2 linked regions of the Elephas maximus indicus genome follow. The protein of the gene in region 2 purifies or fractionates together with the protein of the main gene of each other region. This does not show direct contact. Links are inferred from orthologs where the notes say so. Each region holds a gene or a part of one and is shown on either strand. Other genes may lie near its edges. The genes, in order: CALR and HSP90B1.

Evidence for each region.
Region 1: the proteins of HSP90B1 (region 2) and CALR fractionate together in Homo sapiens (co-fractionation; 4 studies listed by BioGRID, with this or other methods). This does not show direct contact. The link is inferred for Elephas maximus indicus from reciprocal best matches to the Homo sapiens genes HSP90B1 and CALR.

What each region holds. Positions count from the first base shown.
Region 1 is NC_064821.1:31,595,018-31,610,776, reverse strand, and holds CALR (calreticulin), read right to left. Parts: upstream 6,258-15,759; 5' UTR 6,176-6,257; coding exon 6,085-6,175; intron 5,753-6,084; coding exon 5,651-5,752; intron 5,467-5,650; coding exon 5,263-5,466; intron 4,877-5,262; coding exon 4,782-4,876; intron 4,694-4,781; coding exon 4,484-4,693; intron 4,398-4,483; coding exon 4,284-4,397; intron 4,199-4,283; coding exon 4,055-4,198; intron 3,451-4,054; coding exon 3,358-3,450; intron 3,271-3,357; coding exon 3,073-3,270; 3' UTR 2,517-3,072; downstream 1-2,516. Other genes in the region: RAD23A (UV excision repair protein RAD23 homolog A), read right to left, coding at 682-753; FARSA (phenylalanine--tRNA ligase alpha subunit), read left to right, coding at 6,771-6,850, 10,366-10,570, 12,375-12,512, 12,598-12,696, 12,778-12,896, 13,573-13,665, 13,764-13,892, 13,975-14,090 and 4 more. UniProt on the Homo sapiens protein: Calcium-binding chaperone that promotes folding, oligomeric assembly and quality control in the endoplasmic reticulum (ER) via the calreticulin/calnexin cycle.
Region 2 is NC_064822.1:170,639,947-170,655,241, reverse strand, and holds the start of HSP90B1 (endoplasmin), read right to left. Parts: upstream 6,726-15,295; 5' UTR 6,589-6,725; coding exon 6,540-6,588; intron 5,576-6,539; coding exon 5,473-5,575; intron 4,733-5,472; coding exon 4,591-4,732; intron 3,869-4,590; coding exon 3,752-3,868; intron 2,530-3,751; coding exon 2,198-2,529; intron 1-2,197.

The sequences.
Region 1 (15,759 bases), on a different chromosome or scaffold from region 2:
TTAAGTCCTAAGCTCCTTCCAGCCAAAAACAGCGTAGTGTTCAGACCGTAAGCTCTCACACTAGGCAGAATAGAATTAGAATTCTAGCTCTGCCACTTATTAGCTATATATGACTGTAGTAAAACGAAGAATATCAGTTTCCAAACAACAAGCTGTTTTACACATTTAGTAAGACAATAGCACCAAAAAGCTCAATCAACTAGTAAAGAATAAATGGACCACTAAAACCAATACGATTCGACCGTTTATTATCATCTTCATCGCTGTCATCACTCCGCATCTCCCGATCACCAATCCTGGATTCAGCTGCCAACGTTCCGAGAAGCTGCCTGCAAAGCCGGGAACGCGGGAGCCCCCGCCCTGGAGAGCGCGACCCGGCCGGGAATCCGAGCCTACGGCTTCCTGCGCCCCGCGAGAGAGCACTGACATTGGAGCCGGGGCCTGGCGGGCGCCCCGGGGGTGGGGCCTCGCCCCAAGACTCGCCAGGGAGCGGCCGAGCCGCTGGGGGCTGGGTCGGGGACCATGGAGGAGATCCGAGGAGGTCCGGCAGGTGGGGAGACGACAGGACCTGACCCGCACCCACCTCTGCGCCCCTCTCACCGGGATCCCGGCCTCCCCGCCCCCACCCTACCCCCGGCACCCGTCGTAGCTCCTGCCCGCGGGGCTCAGCCCGGCCCGCACCGTCTCATCAGGTTCCATGCGGATCTTGAAGGTCTGCTGCTGCAGCGTTTTGAGCGTGATGGTGACGGCCATGGCAGGGCCGAGCGACGGATCCTGGCCCTGGGATCCTCACACAACATGCAACTCACGCCGCCGCCATCTTAGCGCCCAGCAGCGCCGCGCGCAGACCGCTTCCGGGGCAGATGGTGCGCGCGCCGGCCACCGTGCACGTGACCGGCGCGTGGCTCTTAGGTTCGTGGGCTGGGACCTGCGCGTCCTCTGACCAGGCATGCGCAGATTAACACCACTCCTGGGGAGCGGGGAGACTCCTTGCACAGCGCGCCCACCCGTCACGTGGCTTCCTGGGAGTGACGCCATGCCGGTTAGCGGTGACGTCATGTGGTCACAAAATGGCTCCGGTTTCCCCTGCTTCCACGCGGAAGTGACTTAAAAAATTATTTTTGGTGACGTTGAATAAAAGTTATGTACTTACATTTCTTCTGTTAAATGTTCATGTTTTTGCCCATTCAAATGAGCTTTGTATTATTCCAGCTGTGGAGCCTTGAATGTGGAAACTACTCAAGATGGGAAAGGATACCTGGAAAGTCACCAACAATTTAGAAAAACTCATTTGGGCGTGGAAACAGAAGGAGCACTGGAACGATTTTGTGGTTTCACTTATTCGCTCCTGAAGAGGATGATTTTTGGGGCCTCCCACCGCTGCTGCTATTTGTCCAGCCACTTTGGTCACAGAATCCTGGGTCTGACTCCAAAAACACTTAATGAAGACGTTAACTTAAAAGGCTTCCTTCCAATAAATAGCCACAGCGCACACAAAGGAATGGAAGCATGAAGGAGCAAGTGGAGGGAACAAGGGGAGTTAGGTTTGCCATCACAAAGCCCGTGTTTTGAGACTGGATGGCTTGGAGGAGCAGGCTTGATTCCCAGTTAGGGTATCGAAACTGGAAGCCTGGAGGCCAGAGGAGGCTGTGGCAACAAACCTGACCTTTCCCCAACTGACCATCATTAGCTGCCTCCAAACCTGCTGCTCTCACAGTTCCCATCCAACTCACCCAGGCTGGGCACTGGACAGTCCTCACCAACTGCCCAACAACTGTAACCAAGTCATGCTGCCTCTCTCCACTCCATGCCCTGAGCCTATGCAAACCTCCACCAGCACCAGCCAGGAGCAGCTTACAGCTTCTTACCCTCTCCTGAAACAGGGTCCATCAACTCCCCCATCCTCCTCACTGGGCTTTCACCATCTTGCCATAGGCAGCTTCCTGGATCTCCACCTCTGCTCTCTCTGCACTACCTCAAGCCCTCTTTCCCCTCAACGGGTTCAGACCCCATCATGGCTATGGCTACAGAAGACCACAGGAACTTGGGGTTGTGCTTGAACCTATTTCCTCGATTATAAAAGTAAATAGCTTTTAACTCCAGCTGGTATTAAAAAAAAGTTTAAAAGCACTAACAGCCATGTAATCATTAGGTAATAGGGACAGAAAAAAGCTCAATGACGAGATAAACCATGAGACAGTGTTCAGGTGTGGATTGAAATCCCTGCCCCACCACTAAGTTCTGTGCCTCAGTCTCCTCACAATCAAAGCAAATAGGTAACAGAACTAAAAGAGTTAATACGTGGAATATTTTTTAACAGTTATCCTCCGATTTGGGCTCACTAGACAAGCAAGGGCCTTTGTAACCTTGTGGGATGACACTCAGCCAACTCTTCAGCAGCTGAAAAATGAAAATTCAGAGAACCCATTACTTAGGAGCCAACCCCCCCCCCCCGAAAAAAAGGCCATCTTTGGTTCCCAGATGTCCATCCTCCCCCGAAAAAGGAAACACAGAAGGAAGACACAAAACTTAATTTAATAGAAATTTTGCATGTAGTTCTTACATTCTCAGTATGAGCTGAGCTGGAACCTGCTGCCCCACCCAGAAGTGGCCCAGTCCTGGGAGTAGGGAGAAAGTGGGGGCAGAGCTTGGGCCCTAAGAGCCCCATTCTTTCTCAGTGCTGGGGGCGCTGGGATGCCACCCCTTTCTCCTGATGCCCCCCGGACTCCAGGAAGGAGAGCAGATGGAATCTCAGGCCTGGGCTTCTCCACACCCACTCCCTGACCCCCAGGCTGGAAAGGAACTAAGGGATTCAGGCAGAGAACAGAGGAAGGAAAAGATGTGAAGAAAGATGAGACCCAGGGGTGGGGGCTGAGGGAGAATCAAAGACAAAACACCAGTAAAAAAAAAAAAAAAAGGAGGCGGGGACAAAACCAAAACCCACCCCAAATCTGAAACCGCCTGGAAAAAGTGAAAGTTCTCCAGTCTCATAGAGACATTATTTGGCGTGGCCGGCTCTGTGGCAGGAGCGCTCAGGCCTCAGTCCAGCCCCAGAGGCAGGTGGCATGGCCTCTACAGCTCATCCTTGGCCTGGCCCACATCTTCCTCCTCATCCTCCTCTTTGTCCTCTTCATCCTCATCATCTTCATCTTTGTCCTCCTCTTCTTCTTTGTCCTCTGCCGCCTCCTCTTCCTTGCGCTTCTTGTCCTCTTCCTCTTCCTTTAGCCTCTGCTCTTCGTCCTGCTTGTCCTTCATGAGCTTTTCTGCAGCCTGTGGGCCCAGACCATACACCTCAGAGCCTGTCCCCTACCTGCCAGCCCTGTCCACCCCCAAACCCAGGCCTGGGGCCGGCCCCACCTTTGTGACACCCCACGTCTCGTTGCCAAACTCCTCAGCATAGGCCTCGTCGTTGGTGATGAGGAAATTGTCAAAGATGGTGCCAGACTTGACCTGGGGGTGAGTGGAGAGAGAAGTGATTAGAGATGACACTTGGTGGCCCTAGCCTTGGACGAGGCTCACATCTGTGTTCCTATATTCATTTTATGCTACCTCGGTCTCTACATTTCTTTATAAACACATGTACAGAAGAATAGCATTGCTAATATTACAGTTAAAAATAGACAGGGACTGCAGTCCACCCACCTGACTTTAAAATCCCAGCTCTGCTACTTCTCATTTCTTCACTCACTTATAGTTATCAAGTACCTACTGCGTGCCAAGTACTCTTCTAGGCGGAATATACACCGGTGAACAAGGAAACAGACACACAAAAATTCAGAACTACAAATGCAAACTTCTAATGGGGTGATCTAACCGCCTTATGGGCTGGGAGAATTGAGTTGATTCAAATAAAGGTATTTGAGAAAACTACCTGGCACACAGCAAGTGCTCCCTAAAAACAGGCCAGGAAATACTTCAAGAACAGAAAAAGGATCATTTTGGAGTCAGACCTACCTGCATTTGAATCCTACCTCCTCTGTTCCTTGTCTTCTGGGTTAAGATTCTGTCACTCCTCCCCCCCAGGATCCTCCTTCCTCCTCCCGCTGTGCCTCACCTGCCAGAGATCTAGGCCCAGCACAGCAAAGCTGTCATAGGAGTAGATGTTAGCATCAGGGGAGTACTCGGGGTTGTCGATCTCTGGGTGGATCCACTTGCCCTTGTAATCTGGGTTGTCAATCTGCCGGGGTTTCCACTCACCCTGTGGAGGATAAAACCTGATGGTGGGCAAAGTTCTGTGCCCTCTCCACCATACACCCCAGCCCTACTCAGAGCCCCAAGCCCACCTTGTACTCAGGGTTCTGAATCACGGGTGGTTCCCACTCTCCATCCATCTCCTCATCCCAGTCCTCGGGCTTCTTGGCATCGGGATCAGGGATGTGCTCAGGCTTGTCCCAGTCCTGGGCGTACACAAGGAGGTCAGAGTCAGCTTGGCTTTCTGTCCTCCACACCCTCTACTGTGGACAGCCCTGGCCTAAGCACCAACCTCAGGCTTGGAGTCTGTGGGGTCGTCGATCTTGGCCCGCTCATCCCAGTCTTCAGGCTTGGCAGCACTGGGATCCTTTATCTTCTTGGGTGGCAGGAAGTCCCAATCATCTTCCAAGGAGCCTGACTCTACCTGACTGTTGTCGATCTTCACCTCATAGGTGTTATCGGGCCTCACGATCAGAGTATACAGGTGTGTGAATTCATCATCCTGGAGAGGGCGGGAAGTGAGTGGTCCCGCCCACCCGGCTGGCCTTGGATCCTCCCTGGAAGCCCTCTGCCACCACCCCCAGGCAAACCTTGCAACGGATGTCCTTGTTGATCAGCACGTTCTTGCCCTTGTAGTTGAAGATGACATGAACCTTCTTGGTGCCTGGGCCACAGATGTCAGGGCCTAAGTGGGAAACAGGTTCAGTTAGAGCCAAAGGCTGCCCACACCAGGAGCTCCCACCCCTCTTTGCAAAAGACTTCATTCTCAAAATCCGTATGTTAGTATAGACCATCTTTTAAGTCTAATAGACTGTGTGTAGAACCTTAAATTAAAAAGTTATCACTGCAGAACTTAGTATCCTCATTTATAAAATGAGGCAACAGCTACTAACGATAACACAGACACTTATAAATCACCAGCATAAACTCAGCTAACTGTATCTATTCTCCTAGCTTTCCTGCTATGGAAATGAGTGTCAGTAAGTTCTTTCTGTAGTCTCAGGACCACCTTTCACGGTTGAAGAGCCCAAAGGAAGGGTACAGAAGTCACCACTGGGCAGGGCCCCTCACCAAACATGATGTTGTATTCAGAGTCCCCATGCATGTCCGCCTGGTCTAAACCATCAGGAAACAGCTTCACATAGCCGCCCCCACAGTCGATGTTCTGCTCATGCTTCACAGTAAACTGCACTACCAGCGTCTTGTCTTTGTTGCTGAAAGGCTCGAATCTTGCCGACAGGGCGTAGAAGCGGGCGTCCTGGCTTGTCTGCAGCCCTGGCATAAAACGGTGATGAGGACACAGCTAAACCACCACCCCCAGGACCCTCGGCTTCCCACAATACAGACAACTCCCTTTCTCTACTGATCCTACTTCTGGGGATGCCCAAGTTCCGTATAGAGACTAAGGCTTCCGCCATAAAGTTGTCCCAGATCTGGGCACCCACCCCCAGGTTCTTACCCTTATCTTTCTCCTGGTCACCGTAGAACTTGCCGGAACTCAGAACGAACTTGCCAAAATCCGACTTGTGTGTGGATTCGACCCAGCGGTCGGTCCACCCATCTAAGGAGTCAAAGGAACACGTCAGGGTGACCGCGCTGACCATTCACCCCCCACATCGCCGGGGGCCACAAGCTCCTAGGAGCAGGTAAGGAAATCTTCCCTGACACCCCCCACCCCAACCTCTAGTTTGACACCTCAAGCGAACGCTAACCCCCACCGCAGGAGGCAGCTGCGCCCTCGGCGCTCCCCAGGAACGCAGGAAGGATCGCCTGCGGCTCTGGTCCCTGGAGGCCACAGTGTTGGTCCTTTGAGCAGTAATTACAGACAACGGAGATCCGAGCCGGGGACCAGCCGCGTCCTCGGGGCACCTTTGGGACGGGACCAGGTATTACCTCCGTCCAGAAACTGCTCCTTGAAGTACACGGTGGGCTCAGCGGCGGCCAAGCCAAGTAGGCCGAGCAGCAGCGGCACGGGTAGCAGCATGGCGGGCCGAAGGGGGCGGTGGCACGCAAGCCCTTTAAGACACTACCCTGCCAGCGGCTCTGCAATAGGGACGGACGCCGTCAGCGGCCGTGCGCTTTTATACCCACCCGCCTCTCAAACCAACCTGGCCCAGCCTTTGCACCCGCCCTCCGTGCTTTATCATTGGTCTGTGGCTTCGAACACCCCTTTCCATTGGACTCTTGCCGGCTCAGCATATTAGGCTGTGCCTCGGAACGCTGGGTTCCCAGATGGCCGATTTCTATTGGCCCCACCGCAGGCCAATGAAGGTCGACCACGCGTTGTGGGGGACGCCCACCGGTGGGGTGGGGGCTGCGAGCCTCTCTGGCCAGGTCATGTGACTAGCCCTCAGCCCAGCCCAGTCCTCGCTCGCGCGCATTGCTCCTCATCTGGGCGTTTAAAGAACCCGCGCGAGCGCAGGTGTCACCGCGCTGGGCCGATGTCCTTCCCCAACCTCGCCGCCTCCCGTCCCCCCTGCGTAGAGGGATGAGCACGGCCTTTGGGCTTTACAAGCCACTCAGCTTTATACCCTGCATTTGAGAAACAACCCTGACGGTGGGCTTCCCCTTGCCCTAGAATGGGGCAGAACTCAGGCGCTGGGGTCCTAGGGCGTTCCTGCACCCCGGTGCCAGGGCTACAGCCATGCAGGCCAACCAGGTGGGTGCTAGTTCTCCTCCCCATGGCCTCCAGTGCCTCGGAAACTTGTCAGACTGCTGCTTTGTGACCTGGGGCAAGACACGGCCTCTCTGAAATCACAGGAGTTCCTGAGAGGCCAAACGCCCCTGGCCAGCTCCTACCTGGCAGAAATGCCTTCAGCGCTTTTAGAGGTGTACAGGGACAGAGAGAAGGAAGCCCAGAAGGCTCAAAGATGTGGCTCCTAGAGTGAAGATTGTGTTGCTTCCTTAGTTACAGCCTCCCCTTTGCTCCCCCCTCAGCCTGTAAATGAAAAGGGTCGCCGTCTTGTGGTCTCCCACAAACCGTCTAGCTTTTGCAATTAAACGGCTAAGGGCAAGAGGGCAGGGGGTCCGTTGAAGAGGAAAAAGAGAGGCAGACGGTAGGAAAGATAAGGTCCAAGGGAGAAGGATGGGACCCCTGGATCTAGAGTCTTCTGAAGCCAGAGGCATGAGACCATACCAGATCCCTGCCCCCAGGCTGCAGAGAGGAGGAAGGAGGGTAGGGATTTTCCGGTCTCCACATTTTTTTTTTAACATAGTAGGCCCTAGACCTGGGAACGAGGAAGTGGACTGTGGAAAGGGGAGCGGTGGGAAATCCTGGGACAAGGGCATGGAAGGGATGCTTTTTTAGTGGTGAGGAGTCCAGAAGCGGAGGAAAGAAAGGTCTCGAAGAAATAGAGGTACTGCCCCTTTCCTCAGTCAGTATTTTCTGTCACCAGCAGAGGCAGATTAATCAGTAAGCAACGCACAAACCCCCAGTGGCACAGCAGTTAAGAGCTCGGCTGCAAACCAAAAGGTTGGCAGCTCAAATCCACCAGCCACTCCTTGGAAACCCTATGAGGCAGTTCTCCTCGGTCCTATAGGGTCACTATGAGTTGGAATTGACTCACAGCAACATATAGTAAAAACAACGTATGCATGGGCTTAGTTTTGTTTATGGACTAATCTGTAGTACACAATGGTTTCAAGTGAAATTGTGCACTACAGGTAAGTAAATAAGTAAAAGTAAGCCCGTGTGTACCTTGCTTATTGAATAATCTGTCCCTGGCACCAACCTGCCCCCCTCAAAAGGAGGCCCAGGTGCAGGGTGACTACCCCAGGCCTGCCACCCCTGTCCTCAGTGTCCTGGACAGAAAATGGGCTTGTGCTTCCTGCCTGAGGGTAGACATTGTGCCTGTCTTGTTCTCACTATTCCCCAGTGTCTACTGCAGCACCTGGCAAAGAACATGCTTAAAAATGACTTGCCGCATGACAGAAAGAATGAAGGACTCTTGTGGGAATGAAATAAAAACAGGGGAAGTGCTTGGAAACTAGCCTTACCTAGAGAAAGGACTCTGAGAGACATGTCTCCCTGACACCTGAGGCAGGTGGGTCAGGATTGGGTATCCCCATTTTATAGACTCAATAATTGTGACGGTTAACTGAATAAGTGTGTTTGCTCAGAAAAGTGGCTGACATATGGTCTACACTCACTCAGTATTAGCAATTACTGCATACATGAGTATGCACTATTTCACTTAATTTTCACGATAACCTGGGCTTTTATCATCTCCACCAGGTGAGGAAACCAAGGCACAGAAAGATTAAGCGATTTGGCTGAGTGACATAAATGGAAGAACTGGAATTTGAATCTGTTTGCACCGTCTAATAAAGTCAGTCACATGTGACTACTAGCCCTGTAAAATGTGGCTAGTCCAAACTAAGATATGCTGTAAGTGTAAAATATACATCAAATTTCAAAGAGTTAACTAAAAAAGGAATGCAAAATATCTCAGTAACTTTCTTTTTTTAAATAATTTTTATTGTGCTTTAAGTGAAAGTTTACAAATCAAGTCAGTCTCTCACATATAAACTTACATACACCTTACTACATACTCCCACTTACTCTCCCCCTAATGAGTCAGCCCTCTCCCTCCTTCCAGTCTCTCCTTTCATGGCCATTTTGCCAGTTTCTAACCCCCTCTACCCTCCCATCTCCCCTCCAGGCAGGAGATGCCAACACAGTCTCAAGTGTCCACCTGATACAAGTAGCTCACCCCTCATCAGCATCTCTCTCCAACCCATTGTCCAGTCCATTCTATGTCTGATGAGTTGTCTTCTGGAATGGTTCCTGTCCTGGGCCTACAGAAGGTTTGGGGACCATGACCGCCAGGATTCTTCTAGTCTCAGTCAGACCATTAAGTCTGGTCTTTTTATGAGAATTTGGGGTCTGCATCTCACTGTTCTCCTGTTCCCTCAGGGGTTCTCTGTTGTGTTCCCTGTCAGGGCAGTCATTGGTTGTGGCCAGGCACCATCTAGTTCTTCTGGTCTCAGGATGATGTTAAGTCTCTAGTTCATGTGGCCCTTTCTGTCTCTTGGGCTCATAATTACCTTGTGATCTTGGTGTTCTTCATTCTCCTTTGATCCAGGTGGGTTGAGACCAATTGATGCATCTTAGATGGCCGCTTATTAGCATTTAAGACCTCAGACTCTCAGTAACTTTTAATTGAAGATATGTTAATAATAACTTGGATGTATTGGGCTAAATAAGATGTTAAAATTAGTTTCACCAGTTTCTTTTTTTTGAACACAATTTCTTTTTTTTGAACACAGCTACTAGAAAATTTAAAATATTTATATCTTGCATTACATTTTAATAGGACAACAATGATCTAGACTATCCATTACTGTTCAAATGCACCAGCCACTCCATGGGAGAAAGGTGTGGCATTCTGCTTCCATAAAGATTAAAGCCTTGAAAACCCTGTGGGGCAGTTGTACTCTGTCCTATGGGGTTGCTATGAATTGGAATTGACCCAGTGGGAATGGGTTATGTTGGGTTTGATTGTGACATTCATCTTGGAGCATGGGGGATTAGAATCTAGAGGGTTTACCATTTCTGACCCCACCTTCACCAACTCACTATAGAACCTCGGGCAAATCATTACCCTCTGAGCCTCAGTTTTCTCGTCTGTGAAATTGGGATTATGTCAATATCTACATCACATGGTTTTGTGGAGAAATGAAATAATACACAAGAAGTACTTAGCCCTAGGCCAGGCACACAGAAGGTAGCCTTACCTAAGTTACCTGCTACTTTGACTATTATTCTTTTTAGTGAAGTCCCTCCCTCCTCTATGAATGGGGATAGCCCCTATCCAGCCTCCCTTTGAAAGTTTAAAAGTAACTGAGAACAGCAGAGGGACCATCTCTGAAGCCCACCACCCACCGGCCTTTTCAGTGCAAGAAAAAATTCAGAAGAGCAGAAGATACCCAGGCCCAGAGAGGGTGCAGTCCAAGGTCATACAGCCCGCTGGGTGTAGGGCTGGATAAAAACCCGAAACAACACTGTCCTTCTGACCTTGAGGTCACCAATATGACCCCTCTAGTCAACCAGACTTCCAGGGCAGAGGTGGGAAGAGTCTCTTGGCTTACCTGACACACTAAAGATGGCGTCTCTTGGAGCGCCGCACGACTGCTTCGCCACACTCAAGATGGCGTCACACGCTCCTGCCGCAGGTTCCGGTTCCGGCTCCTTTGGCCAGGCTGGGGCACGGAGAGCGTGGTGGGAGCAGCAATGGCGGACAGTCCTGTGGCAGAGCTGCTACTACGGCGGCTAGAGGCGGCCGATGGAGGCCTGGACAGCGCAGAGGTAGCGGCCGAGCTAGGCGTGGAGCACCAGGCCATGGTGGGAGCCGTGAAGAGCCTGCAGGCCCTGGGCGAGGTGAGCTGGGGCTGTGATGCCAGCCCTCTGCACTTAAGTACCTGCCGTGGCTGTGCCTGACGGGCCCTGCCTCCAGGCCAGACCACGTCAGGCCTGATGAGGGGTAATTGTATAGCATATGTGTACAGTCCGGGGTGCGCAGGCAGGGTTCTGGAAGGAGTGAGGGCCTGGGCTAACTCGCGTTCATTCATACAACAAACGTCCACTGAGGCATGTTTGGCGTGGGTGGTGCGATTTTGGACAAGATGCGATCGCTGCGGTCATGAAGGTTGCAGGCTAACGAGGAAGATGCTCAAGTGACCAGAGTGGTGGGGCAAGCACAGGGAACCCAGAGGTGACAGCTGACCCAGCCTTATGGGTTAGGGAGGCTCCTGGAGAAGGTGGCAGCAGGGTCAGATCTCTGCACTGAGAATAAAAGCCATGGCACTTTAGGATCAATGGGAGGGGGCAGACAGGTGGTTGCAGAGACCAACAGAGCCATAATTTTCGAGGCCTTCCGGATGTTTATCTCCCAGGAGTGCAGGGGAGCCATGGCAGGAGCTGGAGCCAGGAAGACATGCAGGCAGCCGGCTTCAGGGGCTGTCAACATCAGCTTTGAGAAGGATATGCAGGGACAGAGTCTGCCACATCCTCGAGGTGAAGGAGTTGGTGTTTGGCTGTGGGAGGCAGCTGGCATGGAGCCGAGGCACGGCCTGAGATTCAGGGCAAGGCAGGAGAAGCACAGGTGACAGAGCCACAGGAGGAGGATGCTGAGGGGCCTCAGCATGCCATAATAGATGGCAGACTCATGAGGCCAGGACTCAGGAGGCAGATCTTGGCAGTTTATTTGTCGAGTTCACATTCTGTGCCCTGTTCTGATCTCAATTTGTCCAATCCTGGGCACAACCCTAGCATAATGACACTATTATCCCCATTTTGTGGTTGTGGCAACTGATGCTCAGCACTGTTCAGTAACTTGGTCTCAAAAAGTCAGATAAACCCCAATGTGAGATTAGGTGCTCTGGCTGCAGAGCCCAAGCTCTTCCCCACCCGACAGTACAAGAAGGTCATCAGTGCAGGGGAAAGATCGAAGCTGAGGTGTATAGGGCTTGGCCAAGTGATACTGACATTGATGTAGGTCACAGAGTGCCAAGTAGTGGCAGTTTAATGTGGTTCAGCGTAATGACTGTAATGGTAATGATAACAACAATAATGATAGGAAATAATAACTTAGTAATAACAGAGTTTATGCAGGATTTACCATGTGTTAAGCTCTTTGTAATTTTCACGGGTATGAATTGGTTTACTTTTTGCAACAACTGCTGAGGTAGCATCCATCATTATTCTTTTCTTATGCATGAAGAAATTCACTCAAGGAGGTTAAGCAACTTTCCTGAGGTCACACAGTGAGTGAGGAGCAGAGCTGAGATTAGATCTGAGGGAGAGCGAGGACCTGTGGGCCCAACCAGCCCTGCCCCTGTCTGCTTGACCCTGGAACCGTTATCCTCGTGCCTCGGATTCCTCACATGGACCTTCCCTGACGCTCTGGGATGCTGACACAAATCAGTTTACCTGAGACCTTGGAATCTGTCGCAGGTTTTCTGCCAGGCAACGTCATTAGTACTTTATCTCAGTGTGGGAGGCATGAGCTATCATAATAACGAGGCTCAGCAAGGGGAAATCCTTAAAGAGATTTCTCAGCTGGAAAGTGGCAGAGCTGGGATGTGAACACAGGCATCTGGCTTCAGGGGTAGTGCTGTGGTGAGGGGATGCCTGGCTCTGAACCCCACCCCTGCCTGTGCCCCTTTCCCCCATTTTCCTACAGATCATTGAGGCCGAGCAGCGTTCCTCCAGGCGCTGGGAGCTCACCACTGAGGGCGAGGAGATTGCCCGGGAGGGCAGCCATGAAGCCAGGGTGTTCCACAGCATCCCCCCAGAGGGCCTGGCTCAAAGCGAGCTCATGGTAGGGGCCTGGGGGGCAGAGGGCAGGGCTCAGGGATGTGATGGTTGCAGCCCTTGTGCCCCACTGACTGCAGCCTCTCCCCTAGCGACTGCCCAGTGGCAAAGTGGGCTTCAGCAAGGCCATGTCCAATAAGTGGATCCGCGTGGACAAGAGCACAGCTGATGGGCCCCGAGTGTTCAGAGTGGTGAGTCCCTGCAAGCAGGTGGATGGGTGGGTGGGTGAGCCCCTTGCCCTCACTGTCCCTCACAGTCCATCATCACTGCAGGTGGACAGCGTGGCAGATGAGGTGCAGCGGCGGCTCCGCCTGGTCCAGTGTGGGGAGGCCGAGAAGTTGGGAGAGAAGGAGAGGAGCGAGCTCAGGAAGAGGAAGCTCCTGTCTGAAGTGTGAGTGGGCTGGAACCCCAATGTCACCTGCAAGGTCCCAGAGCTGGGTGTAGGGAGGGAGCAGACCTGCTAGTATGGGGCAGTGAGTGCTGGCAGTCTCCCCCATCCTCCCATACTGAGCACCTACTGTGTGCCACGCAGGGTTCTGGGCCTTGTGGCTATAGCCGTGAACCAGACGGGGCTTGGGGCTCTGCTCTTACACAGCTGACACCCCATTGGAGCAGATGCAGGGTGGTGCAGGGTTACCAGAACACAGACTGGAGTTGGCTCTACCACTTAGCTGTGTGATCTTGGCCAAGTTACCTGGTCTTTCTTGGTCTCCATGTCCTCACCTACAAACAAAATGGTCTCTTGTCATAAGGAATGAGTTCAGCGGAACAGCCTGGCACGGAATTAGTCTTCTAAAGGCTATCTGTGGTGGTTGTTCCCAGCTGTGTTCTGTGGTTTTCAACCAGACCCTGGCACACAGTATGTCCTCAACAAGCGTCTGTTGAGCAAAAGAACATGAGGAGATGGGGGGTGGGCAAGTAAGAGAATTTCAGGTGATGCCAAGTGTCAGGAAGGAAATAAAGCAGAGTGACTTGGTGGGTGGTGTTGGGGTCAGTGTCAGATAGAGATCAGGGAAGGCCTCTTAGAGGAGATAGCAGTGGCATCCCCTCCCCTGCTCTGGCCACAGGATCCTGAAGACCTACTGGGTGAGCAAAGGGAGTGCCTTCAGCACCAGCATCTCCAAGCAGGAGACAGAGCTTAGCCCTGAGATGATCTCCAGGTACAGGGCGGCCCCAGCGTAGGCGGGGCAGGTGGGGCTGTGCAAGGGGTGGGGGGACAGCCCACACTGGACCCTGGCACCCTACACTCCACCCACAGCGGCTCCTGGCGGGACCGGCCTTTCAAGCCCTACAACTTCTCAGCCCGTGGTGTCCTCCCCAGTAGTGGCCACCTTCACCCCCTGCTCAAGGTCCGCACCCAGTTCCGGCAGATCTTCCTGGAGATGGGGTGAGCATGGGGCTGGAGGCAGGGCCAGGCCAGTGACTGGACATGGGCACAGGCAGGGCAGTCAGGCCGCATCTTCCTCCAGGTTTACTGAGATGCCCACCGACAACTTCATTGAGAGCTCCTTTTGGAACTTTGATGCACTCTTCCAGCCCCAGCAGCACCCAGCACGTGACCAACATGACACTTTCTTCCTACGAGGTGGGTTTTCTTCTGAGTTCTTAGCACTGTCAGAAATTAAGTGGATTCACATAGTTGTTGTTTACCTAACAGGAGAGCAGGTGGGTCACTTGGGTGCCTGGCTAGAGAAACATTGTCCTCATCGCTGCCATGACATCTAATGCTGACTAAGCACTTAGTGCGTGCCAGGCTCCATTCTTGCCTTCCCACAATCCTTAGAAAGTTGTACTGTTAGCCTTATTTTACAAATGAAGAAACAGGCAGAGAGAGAAGGTCATTTACTCAGGGTCGTACAGCTTGGAAGTGAAGTCAAGATTTGATCCCAGGCTTACCGGGCACGCCAAGGCCACATCTCTGGAAGAGCACAAGAATTCACACATTTGTGTAACAAACGTTCACTGAGCCCTTTCTGCGCGCCTGAGTTTCTGTTAAGCACAGGGGTCACAGCCACAAACGAGACAGGGAAGTCCCTGCCTTGGTGAGACCTGCATTCCTAGTGGGGGGGTCAAGTGTTACCTCTCAAGCGATCTGCATAGTAGAGTAGATGGCAGTAAATGCACCAGGGAAAACCAGCACGGGGCATTGGTGTCAGTTTAGAATAAATTGACGTGCAAAGACTTCATCAGGAAGGAGTTGTTGAAGCAAAGACCAAAGGAGGCGAGGGAGGGAGCCATGTGGATGGCTGATGGAGGGAAGTTCCAGACAGAAGGAACAGCCACTGCAAAGACCCTGAGCCTGGTAGGAGGAAACACATCATTGAGGGGGCTGGGGAGAGTGGAAGAGATGAGGGCAGGGAGGTGATAGGGCAGAGTGTGCAGGGCCTTGTGGGTTGTGCAGTTTTTACTGCCACAGAGGGCTCTGGGCAGAGGACGGCTGTGGCTGACTCAGGTGCTCACAGGCATCCCCTGGCTGCTCTGGGCAGGAGGGTGGGTGCCGCACAGTTGCCTGTGTCCTCCGTGCGGTGGCTTCAGGCCCGGTGGGTAAGTGCTTGTTGACCAACCAGTTGATGCTCTGCTTCCGCCAGATCCGGCCGAGGCTGGGCAGCTCCCGATGGATTACGTCCAGCGGGTCAAACGAACCCACTCTCAGGGTGGCTACGGCTCACAGGGGTGAGGCAGGCTGAGGGCCTTGGGGTGTGGACGGGGAGGTGGGTGGGAGTTCAAGGGCCCCATCACGTACTTCCCACATTTTCTCCTGAAGGTACAAGTACGCCTGGAAGCTGGATGAGGCCCGTAAAAACCTGCTGCGCACACATACCACATCAGCGAGTGCCCGTGCCCTCTACCGCCTCGCCCAGAAGGTGTGGCTTGGCCCAGATGGGGGATCGGGGTGGGGAAACCATCCCATGTACCTGCTGACCCAGCCCCGGGCCTGGCCATCGCCCTTAGAAACCCTTTACGCCGGCTAAGTACTTCTCCATCGACCGTGTGTTCCGGAACGAGACCCTGGATGCCACACACCTGGCTGAGTTCCACCAGATCGAGGGTGTTGTGGCTGACCATGGCCTCACTCTGGGCCACCTCATGGGCGTCCTGCGAGAGTTCTTCACCAAGCTGGGTGAGCAGGCAGTTTGGGATGGGTGGCATTGGTGGGGGAGTCAAGGGTGCCTTGGTAGCCTGCCTCATCCTGGCCTCCTACTTCCCACCCCGCTTGCCCAGGCATCACCCAATTGCGCTTCAAACCGGCCTAC
Region 2 (15,295 bases):
CACTGAGTGATAGGGTAGGAAGACTTTTAAGAGAAAGGAAAATCTTACAAATTTCATTTACTGATCACACACGCATGCCACCTGCATAAAACTGTCTTGATTACCCGTAATCATTCATATTTAAGCTCTGGAGATGGGGCAGAAAACAAAATGCCTGCTTTCATGAAGCTTACATTCAGATAATTTCTCCTGTTTCTTAGCACCCTAAAACATTAATGTTCTTTGGGACATCACTTTTCTCTTTTTCTAGTTAGAGAGTCTCACAGTATTACAAACTAACAGACATGTGGTTTAAGGAGGAAAGGTTGAGTCAGGGTTGTATCCTTTCACCATACTTATTTCAGCATGTATGCTGAGCAAATAACCCAAGAAACTGGGTTTTATGAAGACAAATGGCACATCAGGATTGCAGGAAGACTCACTAACAACCCGCATTACACAATGACACAACCTTGCTTGCTCAAAGTGAAGAGAACTTGAAGCACTTACTGAGGAAGATCAAAGACCACAGCCTTGAGTATGGATTACACTTCAATATAAAGAAAACAAAAATCCTCACTACTGGACCAATGAGCACGATCATGATAAATGGACAAAAGACTGAAATTGCCAAGGATTTCATTTTACTTAGACCCACAATCAACACCCATGGACGCAGCAGTCAAGAAATCAAACGACATATTGCATTAGGCAAACATGCTGCAAAAAAACCTCTTCCAAGTGTTAAAAAGCAAAGATGCCACTTTTAAGGACTAAGGTGTGCCTGACCCAAGCCATGGTGTTTTCAATCGCCTCACATGCACGTGAAAGCTGCATAATGAGTAAGGAAGACTTAAGAATTGACACCTTTGACTTACGGTGTTGGCGAAGAATAATGAATATATCATGGACTGTCAGAAAAACAAACAAATCTGTCTCGCAAAAAGTACAACCAGAATGCTCCTTAGAAGCAACGATGGCAATACTTCATCTCATGTACTTTGGACATGTTATCAGGAGGGACCAGTCCCTGGAGAAGGACACAATGCTTTGTAAAGCAAAGGGTCAGCGAACAAGAGGAAGACCCTCAATGAGATGGACTGACACAGTGGCTACATCACAATGATCATGAGGATGGCACAGGACCAGGCGGTATTTTGTTCTCTTGTACATAGGGTTGCTATGAGTAGAAACCAACTCAACATCACCTAACAAGTCAGAGATCTGATTTATCTACAGTCCTCTAACACCCAAGCCCACTATGCTAAACAGAGGGCACTAAGATGTAGTTATTAGTGAGTGGTAACTCCTAACGCAACAACAGGCTCAAGCAAAACAACAACTGTGTGGATGGTGCAGGACTGGGCAGGGTTTCATTCTGTTGTGCAGGCTAGCTATGAGTTGGAGCCAACTTCACAGCACGGCACCTAACAATGAGACTTGGAAGGAGCCCTGGTAGCACAGTGGTTACAGCGCTTGGTTGCTAACCGAAAGGTTCAAACCCACTAGCTGCTCTGTTAGAGAAAGATGTGGCAGTCTGCTTCCCTAGAGTACAGCCTTGAAAACCCTATGGAACAGTTCCACTCTGTCCTATAGGGTTGCTATGAGTCACAATCAACTTGAGGGCAATGGGTTTGGCTTTTTGGTTTTAATGAGATTTGGAGATGTGAATACTAAGGTAAATTGGAAACAAATTAGAAAAATCCTAAAATACAGTCAACTAATTAGATCTCACCAAAAGAATATTTGTGACTATGAAGACAAAAAATGTTAGCTTGTAGCCTGAATTGGTCAAAATAACAGGGATAAGCTTCTTCCCTACTTGAAAAATTTTAAATCCTTAGTGTTGGGAAATTTTTAAACTATGAATCAAGGGAAAAAAAAAAAAAAAAACTGGAGCTGCAGACACATTCTCTTACTCACTTGACAGGACTGGACAAGTCCCTAACCTTTGAAATGGAAATTTATCTCCACGATGGTAAAATTAACAACAAAAAGCAAAAAGCTGCACGGTCTACTTCAGTGTTACAAGCACCAAGAGATACAGTTCGAATCTACCACACGTTCCTTGGAAGCTCTATGGGGCAGCTCTACTCTGTCCTATAGGGTTGTTATGAGTCGGAATTGACTCGACAGCAATAGTTTTTTTTTTGTTTGTTTCTTCTCTGCAACGCATACCCTAGACTATTAATTCTTACTAGGAATTAGTAATACTCACGTAATTGTGGTTCCCCGTCCTAGAGTGTTTCCTCTTGGGTCAGCAATTACAGAAAATTCATTGGAATCCGATTCCCAGATGTGCTGGGTATCATTGTTGTGTTTAGATGTGACAATAACCTTATCTGCTACAAGGAAGGCAGAATAGAAACCAACACCGAACTGGCCAATCAATTCGGAGGTTGACTGGCCTTCTTCTTGTGCCTCGGTCATTCTGTTTAAAAACTCACTGGTCCCAGATTTGGCTATAGTACCAAGGTTTTTAACCAACTCTTCCCTGGTCATTCCTACACCAGTGTCTGTGACGTGTAGCAGGTTCTTCTCCTTGTCACACTAAAATCAAGATAAGAACAAGTATTAAGCCTGCTTAAGTATGGTGTGCCAAGTAAATGCTGAGCTAGGAACTGAGAACTTACTAGCTCTGGGCCACATCAATTCTAATATAGAAAATTAAATTGAGACATTTTCCTCTATACAGTATTTTCTGAGGTTTTCAGAAAGTACACATCCTAAAATGTAAGCATTTTTCTTTAAATGAGAAAACTCCTGTTTGATCTAAACTGTGCTGGTATACATCAGTTCAATGATTTAAAAACAAAATTTTGATGTTCAGTACTTTGCTATGAGATACTATCAAAATAGAAAAGGCGAAGACTGGTCTAAATGTCACAGGGCACAGGTTGACCTGAAAAACAAAAAAATGTTTTGCCTTTTCTTTGATAGAAAGTAAAAGGGCCCAAAATGTGAATGACTGCTGTATTTGTAATCTGTGGTGATCATTATTGTACACTAAATATTCCCAGTTCTCTGCCGTCCAGGCACATAGCAGGATTATACTTGGTCCATTTATATACTTGGGTGAGGCTACGTGACTAGTTCTGGCCAGTAAGTAGCAAGTGGGAGTCATGAGTGCTGCTTTCAGGCTGGAGACTTCAATGGGTGTGAGACCCTCCTGAGCTCTCTCTGTACCATGGCAACCAGCTACACTCCAGATGGTGGCTGCTCAATTAGCCTGTGTCCTGGAATGAGAATGATGCAGAAAAAAAGCCATAGGCAGCATCTGATCGATGATTTAAGCCAGGAGTTGGCAAACCTTTTCTGTAAAGGGCCAGACAGTAAATATTTTAGGATTTGTGGCTTATATGGTCTCTGTTGCTCAACTATTCAACTCTGCTGTTAAAGCACAAAAGCAGTCCATAGGTAATCCATAAACAAATGGGCATGGCTGTGTTCCAAAACTTTATTTATAAAAACAGGTAACGGGATGGATTGGCCCATAGGTTGCAGACTCCTGACTTAGTCTCTGAGATTTGGGAACTGTTATTGTGCAGAGCCCTAGTGGCACAGTAGTTAAGACTAAAAGGTCAGCAGTTTGAATCCACCAGCTGCTCTTTGGAAACTGTATGGGGCGGTTCTACTGTCCTACAGGGTCACTATGAGTTGGAATCAACTTGAGGGCAATGGGTTATGATAACCCAGCCTAACTTTACTGTCATGGATTCCCTATCTTTAAGGATTCTTTTTGCTTTAAAAGAAAGAAGTGTTTTAAGCTTACCTTAATTTTGACCGTTAGCTCCTCATTTCCAGAAAGAGCGTTTTCATCAGTCAGTGATATTAGCCTTATCTTATCTAAAGCATCAGAGGCATTTGAAATCAGTTCTCTCAGGAAAATCTAAGTGGAAGCCAGATTTAAGACACATTTAGGTTAGCCTCAAGATATACAATACAATGAATTTCATGTCAAATCCATTTTCTCTTCTTCACCCAAGGAATACTTCTCCTTATGGTACTCTCTTGGTAAAAAGAGGACTGTAACATCTACAAGGGATACCTGAACTGATAAAAGGCAAAACTCTATTCACCTACCAGTGATCTTTATGTTTGCAATAAGTGAGGCTCAGTTTGCGTGACTGTGATCTTTATGTTTGCAACAAGTGAGGCTCCGTTTATGTGATTGTCTTTAAGACTCAAAACTACTCAGCAGGCATGATCATTTGTGGAGAGGAAAAGGAAAGAGGAGGGAAAATGTCTAACATTTCCCACTTACCTCCCTAAACAATATGGTAAGCATCTAGAAGCAATCCTTACACACACGGATATTTAAACCTCACTAACCAGTGCGTGGAGCCCTGGAGGCACACTGGTTAAGCGTTTGGCTGTTAACCAAAAGGTCAGCAGTTCGAATCTATCAGTTGCTCCTTGGAAATCCTACAGGGCAGTTCTACTACTCTGTCTTATAGGGTCACTATAAATTGGAATCGACTTGATGGCAATGAGTTTGGGTTTTTTTGCTTTTTAATTAGTTACATGGAATTACTGTGAAAGTAAATTTACTGTGAGACTAAGTATACTACATACAGAGATAAAATACTACCTTAACCACATGACGCTTACCTCTTTGTTTTTATATAATGAATTGATGATAAGTTTCATCATTCTGTTAACTTCAGCTTGGAAGGCAAACTTTTCAGATTTCTCTCTAAGTTCTCTTATTTGGGATGCATTTAATCCATCCAATTGAATAGCTTCTTCCTCTCTAAGAAAACAGATAAGCAAATACTGCATTGCTTAGTTCCCCACAAAAACTTCAGATCTGTGAGGACAGCATTAAGAGCCTCCGATGACTGTCTCGAGGTTTAAAAGCATAAAATGCAAACCTTTATAAAATGTTACTAATCCTCATCTCATTATTATTGTAACACAATAGTAGGTTACCTTTAACACTTAGTTGGAAACATTCAGCTCTTAAAACTGCCAGGAAAATAACCCCAACTTTCCTCCACTGAACAGCAAAGACATAACTCACAGCAAGGTCTACAAAATTGTCATGAAGTCTGAGGTCAAATGTACAAACACTATTCAACAGATGGAAACCCTATCTTTTTTACTACTAAAATGCATATACCAAAAGAGTTGAGGACAAAACCAACTGAAGTTTATGGGGCTAGTATTCGGCAATGTAGCTATCAAAAGGAATTAATTCAACTTTGATCAATCATTTCTAGAGATAGGTGATGATAGATATATTGGGAATCAGAAGATCCTATGTACAAACATACACAGCCTTAAAGTGCTCTCTGACTGCTTTAGGTATTTATAAACACCAGCTGTTACACTTTATCTCACCATGAGTTAAAATAGACTGGAAGGCAACTAACAACCACAACACTTTATCTAGTACCCTTGGAGAAGAGTTACAAAAGTAGCTTCTGTATTCCACAACATTTATCAGAAAGTCAAGAGGGCTTATCTGTATAGTTTCAAATGAACACAAACCTCTGTACTACTTCATCGTCCGTCCTAGAACCTTCTCTACTTTTACCCAGATCCTCTTCTACCGTACCATCCACATCGACTTCATCATCTGCTCGGACGGACCCTGAAGGAAGATTTAACACCAGAAAACTCTTAAATATATTATTGCTTCGTGTACTTCTCAGAAGGAGTATGACCAAACAGGGCAAGGGTAGTAGGAGTTGCAAAATTTAGTTGGCAAACAGGGGAGGTGGAGATGAAGAATGGATCCACTAGTTTAAATACGCAACGTAAACCCACTGTCAGCATATTTCTTATTAACGTTCAGACGCTGAGGTCCCCCAACAGATTTTGAAATATGGAGGCAACCATCGCTTCTAAATATAGCCCTCCGGTCTTTGCCGAAAAGATTGATACTAAGACCCTTCTACATCCACACGTGTTACGCGCGCAAGCCGAAACACGGCCTCCAAACTGACCAAGCCAAAACTTAGGGCTTCGTTTTCACAGGTCAAAATACAAAAATATTTGTGCAACCTATGGCGAGGGGAACTGAAACGGGGCCCGGGGGCTTGAGAAGCGGAAGAGACGTTAAGAATCTGGGTCCAGCAAGACTGAATCAAACACGCAGACAGGTCCTTCCCACCGGGTCCAAGGCCCCACGCTCCCGAGTCCAGCATCTGAGAAAGGAAACGTGCGCTCGCGAGGAGTCCAAAAGACTGGGGCGGGGGTCCTCAAGCTCAGATGGTCAGAGATCGCAGAGACTGACAAAAGTCCTCTGGAAAGGGCGCCAACAATGTTCCCGGGTGGGTGGGACGAAGCCCACGGGCCCCACCACGAGGTGGCTGAGACCTCTGGGTGCGGATACTATGAGCTCAGGAGATTTAAATGACTTTGCTCTCTTTTTTTTTTCCAGAGGAAGGGGGTAAACTAAATTCCGTATCTTTCGAGGAAAGGCGACTGGCCCCTCGGCCCATCACAGCTTCTACTGCCCCCCTCCCTGGTTGAACACCCCCAGAACCTTCGAGAAACTACTACGCTTGAGCAGGGAAGGCATCGGGGGGCGCCTGCTGCCCCGGATCACTCACCAACGGTCAGCAGGACGCAGCAGAGGCCCAGCACCCACAGGGCCCTCATGGCGCGCAGCCAGTGATAGGTTTCAAGTCTCTTTGGATCACAGGAGCTGTCTCCACGCCTCCAACCCAAAAGACTAGCTCCTCACACCTCAAGCCGCACGGTCCGCCCACTACCCCCACGCAGGTCGGGCCGCTTTTCTCCCCCACTCCTCTCGGGCGGGGGACGGGAAACACGAACCCGCCAATCACGCCGCACCACGCACCCCGTGTACCCAATGGGAACTCGTCGGGGGGACCGTTGTCTACCAATCGGAGCTGTCCAGGTGCGGTGTCCGGTGCCCGAAGCGTGTCTCCTTTCGATTGGTCATCCGTAGCCTCTTTTCTCCAATCAAATGTCTCCGCGGGTTCCTCACACGCAGGACCGCCCCTTTGCCTGGGAATCTTTGGCCCCTAAGAGAAACCGCCCCATAAACGTAAGCGCGGAACACCCCCATCCTTTAAGAGGTCGCAAGGGAACTACTTCCGGTTCCTAGAGCGCGTTTACTCCGTGACCAAGGGAAACGGTATCCATGGCAACGCGTTCTTTACCATTTCCTGTCTATGCATAGAATCACTTTGGAAGAGATTCTAGCACTACTTTTCTCTCAGCTTTCTACTTGGCCGTTCTTCTCGGAAAAGAGAAACACGTGAGAGGTTGAAAATTCCGACCGCTTTTCATGGGGGTGGCGATAAACTACAGTTCCCGACATGCAACGTATTAGGGGTTCACTGTAATGAACACTGGGAATCGTAGTCTGTGGCTCTTTCACATTTTTCCAGGGAGGTTTTGCGGTAACTGTGCTGTGTGCTTTAGAATCTACACTTCTTTCTGATTGTGTTAGAGATCTGTGCCTCTTGGAGAAATCTCCAGTGTACACAGCCTTTAGAAGTGGGCCTACAGAGCCGTCACACCTTGGCCAAGGCCTTCCTGTGACCCCGAGTCCGAGCTCTCAGAGTCTGGGCGCCGTCTCAAGGTTCATGGACGCGCGTTTCTGAATCTGGCTTTTCCTGCGTCACTTGGACAGCCTGGGCCTTCATTCCTTCTCCCTGATTTGGTTTACAGAAGCCGAGGTGGTAGACTTTTTTCCCCACCTGAGGCAAATCGTGAACCAGTTCGATGTGCAAAGGTGGTGACCAAGTAGTCCTTGAGAAGCGTAGTCATAAAGTCCATTCTAGCACAGAAAAGGAAGCAGCTTAGTTTAACCGGTGCAGGAGGATACACCTGCGGATGTTTGAAAGCAAAACCTGTGGTGCAGCAAATGAGAAAAAGAGTGCGGATTTGTAACTTCACTGAAATATCCTGTCAGCGTTCAGAAAGACAGAAAAAACCAGGTGTCTTGTCTGTGAGGGAAGCCCCTGTCACTGAGCTGCGAAATATTTTCTACGTCCTCTTGCCTTTGTCTTTACTTACGCCGCACCTCACTGGGTTCCCAATATACACACCAGCCTTCCTTATTGCTTCCTCTAGGAAAACTGAACTTTGAATTAGTTTTTAGATAATTGTTACCTGAATTCCTGAAGACAAGTTTTTCAGTGACTGCCATAATTTTTTACAACTTCCCCTATTTAGGTTGCCTGTCTTGATTTTGTGGTTAGTATTTACCCATTGTGGTGGTCCTTTATTTACATATACCCAAATTACCTACGATTGTTATTAGTAAGCAAAGGATAGTTTACAAAGCCTGTTTTATGCTGTTGCGCTCCCATCTCACCCCTCTCCTGTCTCTCCTTTAGCATATACCAGAGTGCGAGTTACATTTTTAAATTCTTTTTTTAAAAAATTGAATTCTTTTTCTTTTCTGCATTTCACAGCTCAACTTCATCTTTGTCTCTAGTTCTGAACAAGTAAGCAACCAGTTCTGAAACTGCAAATTCCATCTTAACTGGTCAGTGGTGGGTAGTTTGTGCACCTGGAGGAAACTGAGAGAGACACATGCCCTCCAAAATAGAGCCATGCTTGTGGTAGGTCTTTCTGCAGATGAGATGGGAGAGCACAAGGCAGCCTGGCAGATGACTGGTCATTGTCTGGTTCAGCTCTGCTTTTTAGAATCTCTTTTAAGACTAGATTCCTGGTTGGGTATCCTGTAAAAGGCATGGGCAGTGTCTTAGTTTCTTAATGCAGCTATAACAGAAATACCACAGTGGGTGGCTTTAACAAACAGAAATTTATTTTCTCACAGTTTAGGAGGATAGAAGTCCTAACTCAGGGCACTGGCTCTAGGGGAAAGCTTTCTCTCTCTTTTGGCTCTAGGGGAGGATCTTTGTCCTTTCAGCTCCTGGTCTTTGGTTCCTTGGCCATCTTCATGGCTACCTTCCCTTTTGTCTTTGCCTAATGTGCTCCTTTCATATCTCAAAAGTGATCGGCTTAAGACACACCCTACACTGACATGACATTAACATAACAAAGAAAATCCTACTCCCAGATGGGATTAGGTCCACACATATAAACCAAACCAATTGCCAATCCAATCTATTCCAACCCTATAGGACAGAGTAGAACTACTCAGAGTAGGGTTTCCAAGGCTATAATCTTTACAGAAGCAGATTACCACATATTTCTCCCACAGAGCAGCTGGTGGGTTCGAACCACAGATCTTTTGGTTAGCAGCTGAGTGCTTTAACCACTGTGCCACCAGTGTTCCTTATATCCACATGTATAAAACCAAAAACCAAACCCACTGCCATTGAGTTGATTCTGGCTTACAGAGATCCTATAGAATAGAGTAGAATTGCCCCATGGGGTTTTAAAGGCTATAATCTTCATGGGAGCAGACTGCCACATCTTTCTCCCATGGAGCAGCTGGTATATTTGGACTGCCAACCTTTTGGTTAGCAACTGATTGCTTAACCACTGTGCCACCAGGGCTCCTTATCTACATGTATGTTGTTGTTAGGTGCTATTGAGTTGATTCCGACTCACAGTGACTCTATATATAGGTCAGAGTAGAACTGGCGCATAGGGTTTCCAAGAAGTAGCTGGTGGATTTGAACTGCTGACCTTTTGGTTAGCAGCAAGCTCGTAACCACTGTGGGGTCCATCCACATGTAGAAGGATTAGAATTTACAACACATTTTTGGGGTGCACAATTCAACCTATAATGGGCAGTTTTCTTGGTTCTTAGCTTTCCTGTTTCTCTCCCGTGATCTTTTCAGCTCTTCTGACTTTTGACCCATTACTGATCCCCAGTTCCCATCTTGGCCTAGCTGCTCCAGGATTAACACTCCAGATGGTTACTTCAGCTACCACCGTTGGATCTGATTCCTTTGCATCCCAAGTTCAGTTTGCCCTTTTTGACACTATATTTCCATAGACACTTCTGGAAACAGCTACCTTCGTTGTTCTCTTTAATCTGCTTCTTCAACAGAGGCAACCCATTAGACAGCACTCTACTTTGTGGTTGAATTTGGAAAGAAAAAAACAGGCAAAGGGATGCAGTTAGATAGATCACCAAGTAGGCAGGTGTAATTCAGGAGTGGGGAGTCAGGGAGAAGGCAGACTGGAGAGACCAAGGAAAGCAGGTGGCATCAGGGAACATTAAGGAATGGGGCCAAGCCCCGAGGGGAATTGGTAGTTTCATTGATTGGTTCATTCATCCACTCATTCATTTATTAATTCAGCAGGTGTTGAGGACCCGGAATGTACCGGGTATTATGCTAGGTGCTGGCTACAGAGAAGAGCAATGAAGATACAGCCTCTGTATAAAACTTGAACAAATATTAACAGTGGAGTTACATCCTAAATACATGTATCTTATTTTAACTGAAAAAAATATAAAAAGAATGACTATGATTTTTATGAAGGTGTATCAGGGAACTTTTTGGGGTGATGGAAATGCTCTTGATGTTAATTGTGGTGGTTAAAACTCATCCAACGGTACTTAAAAAGGGTGGATTTTATTATATATAAATTATACCTCATTAAAAAAAACTAAAATAACTATCATTCTAAACACTAAAAACCATTTCAGTAAGAATCAGGAATTTCGATTGTGATGCCTGTTATTGCCAGTATTGGGCCACACATTTGGTCCAACAATAAGACAAGAAAATGAAGTACTTGGCATAAACTTTAGAGAGGTTGAAGTCCATTATTTTGAAATTCCTTTTTACTGGTGACATGCTTGTATATTCAGGAAACCCAAGATAATGTAGTTTAAAAAAATGCATGAATAAATATGGTGTTGTTAGGTACTGTTGAGTTGATTCCGACTCATAGTGACCCTGTGCACAACAGAACAAAACTGTCCGGTCCTGCGCCACCCTGACAATTGTTTTGCTTAAGCCCAAGAATGCATATGAAATCTGGTAAATCATTAACTGTAAGATAAATATATAAAATTGATAGTCTTGTGCTACTCTTGTAATAAATTCATAGAAATTAAAATAAAAATTCCATTCATATTAGAGATAAATACTGTAAAATGCTTAGAAATAAACTTAAGAATGACATAGCTCCAACATGAAGAAAATTATAAAATCTTACTGAAGAATAGAAAATAAGGCTTAAACTGATAGAAAGACATGATCTTGGCTGGAAAGATTTATCATTAAAGTGTCAGTTCTCCTAAGATTAATATAAAAATTCATTCATTCATTCAACAAATATTTGAGAGCCAATTGTATGCCAGGTACCATTTAGGCACTAGGAATATATATTTTTTCTTGTTATCATTGTTTTATTGTGCTTCAGGTGAAAGTTTACAGCTCACATTAATTTCTCATGCAAAAATTTATCCACATATTGTTTTGTGACATTAGTTGCAATCCCCACAATGTGACAGCACACTCCCTTTTCCACCTTGGTTTCCCTGTGTCCATTAGACTAGTTCGTGTCCGTTGCTCCCTTCTCATCCTGCTTTTGGACAGGAGCTGCCCATTTGGTCTCATATCTGATTGAACTAAGAAGCACATTCCTCACGTGTATTATTTTTTGTTTTATAGTCCTGTCTACTCTTTGTCTGAGTAGTGGGCTTTGGGAATGGTTTCAGTTCTGGGTTAACAGTGCATCTGGGGGCCATAGTTTTGGGGGTTCCGCCAGTCTCTGTCAGACCATTTAAATCTGGTCTTTTTACGTGAATTTGAGTTCTGTTCTACATTTTTCTCCTGCTCTGTCCAGTACTCTGTTGTGTTCGCTGTCAGGGTGGTCACCGGTGGTAACGGGGCACCAACTAGTTTTTCTGGTCTCTGGCTGGTGGAGTGTCTGGTTCAAGTGGTTGCCATTAGTCTTTGGGCTAATATTGTCCTTGTGTCTTTACTTTTCTTTATTCTCCTTTGCTCCAAGTGGGATGAGACCAATTGATGTATCTTAGATAGCCACTTGCAAACTTTTAAGACCCCAGACGTCACTCACCAGAGTGGGATGTAGAACATTTTCTTAATAAACTTTGTTATGCCAATTGACCTAGATGTCCCCAAAAACTATGATCCCCAGGCTCCAGCCCCAGCTACCCTGTCCCTCAAAGTGTTTGGATGTGTCCAGGAAACTTCTTAGCTTTTGCTTTTGTCCAGCTGTGCTGACTTCCCTTGTATTGTGTGTTGTCCTTCCCTTTACCAAAGATGATCCTTGTCTACTATCTAGTTAGTATGGTAGACAGGGGTGTTATGGAAAAAAAATTGAAGGAAAGCGTATCAGGAGTGTTGGGGGATGTAGGGGTGTAGTTTATAGTTTTGAATAGTGTGATCAGACTGGTCTAGTTGAAAAGGTGACATTTGAGCAAAGACTTGAGGAAGATGAGGGAGTTAGCCATGTAGCTATCTGGGGAGAAAGAGTTTCAAGTAGAAACCTAATTAGAACCCCAGCAGCATTGCTGCAGTGATTATTATCATTAAAATTACAGTAGATAGGATAATATTAAATGAAGAACTTGGGTGAGGTGGCCGTATCTATGTATTATTTATTGCTGTGTAACAAATTACTTTAAAACGTAACAGCTTAAAACAATAAACATTTATTATCTCACATAGTTATCTGTGGGTAAAAAAATCTAGAAATGCTTCGCTGGGTAGTTCTGGCTCATAGTCTCTCGTGAAGCTGTAGTCAGGATGTTGGCCAGGGCTGCAGTCAGCCTTAGGCTTGATTGGGGCTGGATGACCCACTTATACAATGGCTCACTTACATAGCTATTGGCAGGAGACCTCAATTCTCCACTGATTGTTGGCAGGAAGCCTCAGTTCCTTAACTTTTGGCCCTCTCTTAGGCCTCACAGTATGGCAGCAGGCTTTCCCCGGAGTGAGCGATCCAAGAGAGAGTAAGGTGGGAGCCACGATGACTTTTATGACCAACCTCAGAAATCACATACCGTTATTTATGTCAAATCCTAGTGGTTACACAAGTCAGCCCTACTCATTGAGGGAAGGGATTATACAAGGATGTTAACACCAGGAGGCAGAGTTCATTGTAGTCATTTTGAAGGATGGCTATCACACGTAGCTGCAAGGGAAGCTGGGGAAGGTTGTATCTGGCATTTTCAGCTTCTTTCACGAGAGATGGACTCAGAATCATAAGGTGAGGTTTTCCCCAAAATATAGTGTTTTAGTTACCTAGTGCTGCTGTAACAAAAAATACTGCAAGTGGGTGGCTTTAAAGAACATTTATTTTTTCACAGTTTTAGAGGCTAAAAGTTCAAATTAAAGCTATGTCGATTCCTTCTGTGAACTGGTGTCTTTTAGCAATCTTTGGTGTTCTTTTGCTTGTAGGTGGGCCCTCACATGACGTCTGTCTTCTCTGTGTGTGTGTGTGTCTCTCTATGCCTATTTTTGCTTTTTATGGGATACTTCACAGAAGTGATTAGGTTCAGGACCCACCCTACTCTCGTATGATCTCATTAACAACAAAAACCTGATTTTCAAGTAGGCTCCTATTTATAGATACAGGGGTTAGGACTTCCACATATTTTGGGGGGACATAATTTAATCTATAACATATATGAAGGGGATTCAATGCTATACACAAATAGATCAATGCAGCAAAAGAAAGAATCCAGGAATAGATTGTTTCACTTTAATTCATGATAAAAGTGATATTTCAATTCAGAGGGAAAATGATAGTTTACTTCATAAAGTGTACTGGCCTTACTAGTTATTCATCTCAAAGAAAATAGAGCTAGGCTCCTAACTTGTATCATATAAAAAATAATTCCAACTTAGAAGAAAATAAGAGAGCCTGTGAATACAAACTGGCAATAAGGTGACCTTCTTAACCAAGCTTGAGCATCCAGAAAATGCAACAGAAAGCCTAGTGGATTCACTACCTCCTCCTTGGTGGGCCCTGAACTTCACTTTTTGTCTTTCTAGCACTATGAGGTTGCCGAGCTTTGCTTAGCTTATCAGCCTCGTGCCTTCTTACCTAAGAATATTCACTCTGAGACCTAAGAGTGGGGCTTTGATCTGGCTCTTCCTGGTTCTGTCTTGGCCAAGGAAGCAAAAAATGGGACAGACCCATGTTTAAAATTTGGGTGAACTGGGAATGATAAGCGGAATGGTAACCAGAACGGGAAAAATAGCAGTGGAAGCCCTGCTGGAAACCTAATCTCCCTCTTAGAAAACAAGGGCAGGGTATGTATTGCATAGCAACCAAATCTCTTGCCTATTGAATTTTGTGCAGATTCAGAAACAGCAGTGTCTAGCTCAAAGATGGTGTGTGATCGCTCCACTTTGCGTTTCGCTCTCCCGACCAATAATCCAGTCTCCTGCATCAGGCTCCTGAAAGGACCTACTATGCCTCTTCCAAGTCTCCCATTCCAGAGCTTCAACCTGTCATTTTTCCTGTTCTGGTTATTGTTCCGGATCACCCAAATTGAAAAAATTCGGGTCTGTCTGGTTTCGCCTCATCAGCCATAACTGAACCAGTTCGAACCGGATAAGGATTAGCAAACACTTTGAGGGGTAAAAAACCAAAAACCCAGTGCTGTCAAGTCGATTCCGACTCACAGCGACCCTATAGCAACAGAAAATATAAGGCTCACTTCTCTAAGCTTTCCTTCTCTCTAGGATCTTGCGTCCTCAAATCCTGGTTGCATAGGTAGCTGTCTGATGCCTTCAAATATCTTACTGGGCTTCTGTAGTTCGGCGTGAGTATTCGTCTTCTTCAGCTTGCGCATCATAGGAGAATGCAGAAGTACATGTTGATCTACATTCTAAGTCCTTGGTCTCATTTTAATGTTTGAACAAAAAAACAAAACAAAAAGATTTCAGCTAAAAAATTAAACAGGAATTATTTTCTCATATTAACCTGTTGGTTGCTTTTCATCAAGCAATTTATGTTTTAATGTCTCCTAACTATGGAACTTGTATTTTTAACTATAGAACAATACATGCGTTTCTAAATATTGGATGTAATTGTAACTATAGTTTACATTACGTCCTCTTTTTAACTAGCTTTAAATGTAATTTTGGATTGTTTAGATCTTCTTCCTACCTCTCATGGCAGCTCACACCATATTACCCTGACTGAGAACTGAGTTCAGATATATAAAATGGTTATATGCCTCTCTTACATGCATTCAGAAAGTTTAAACCTGTCATAAATTCGCGCCTAATTTTGTTGTTTATACTTTATTTTCTATTTAAAAACAAACATCTTCCTAAAGTGTGCCTTAAGACAAACAGGTCAATTAAAAAATATCTATCCAGTTGTTCTCTATCAACTTTGGATGCTGGCTGAGGATAAGGGAATTGAACTTCAAATAAGTGATTTGTTAAATTTAAAATTGTGGTAAATAAACTGGTTG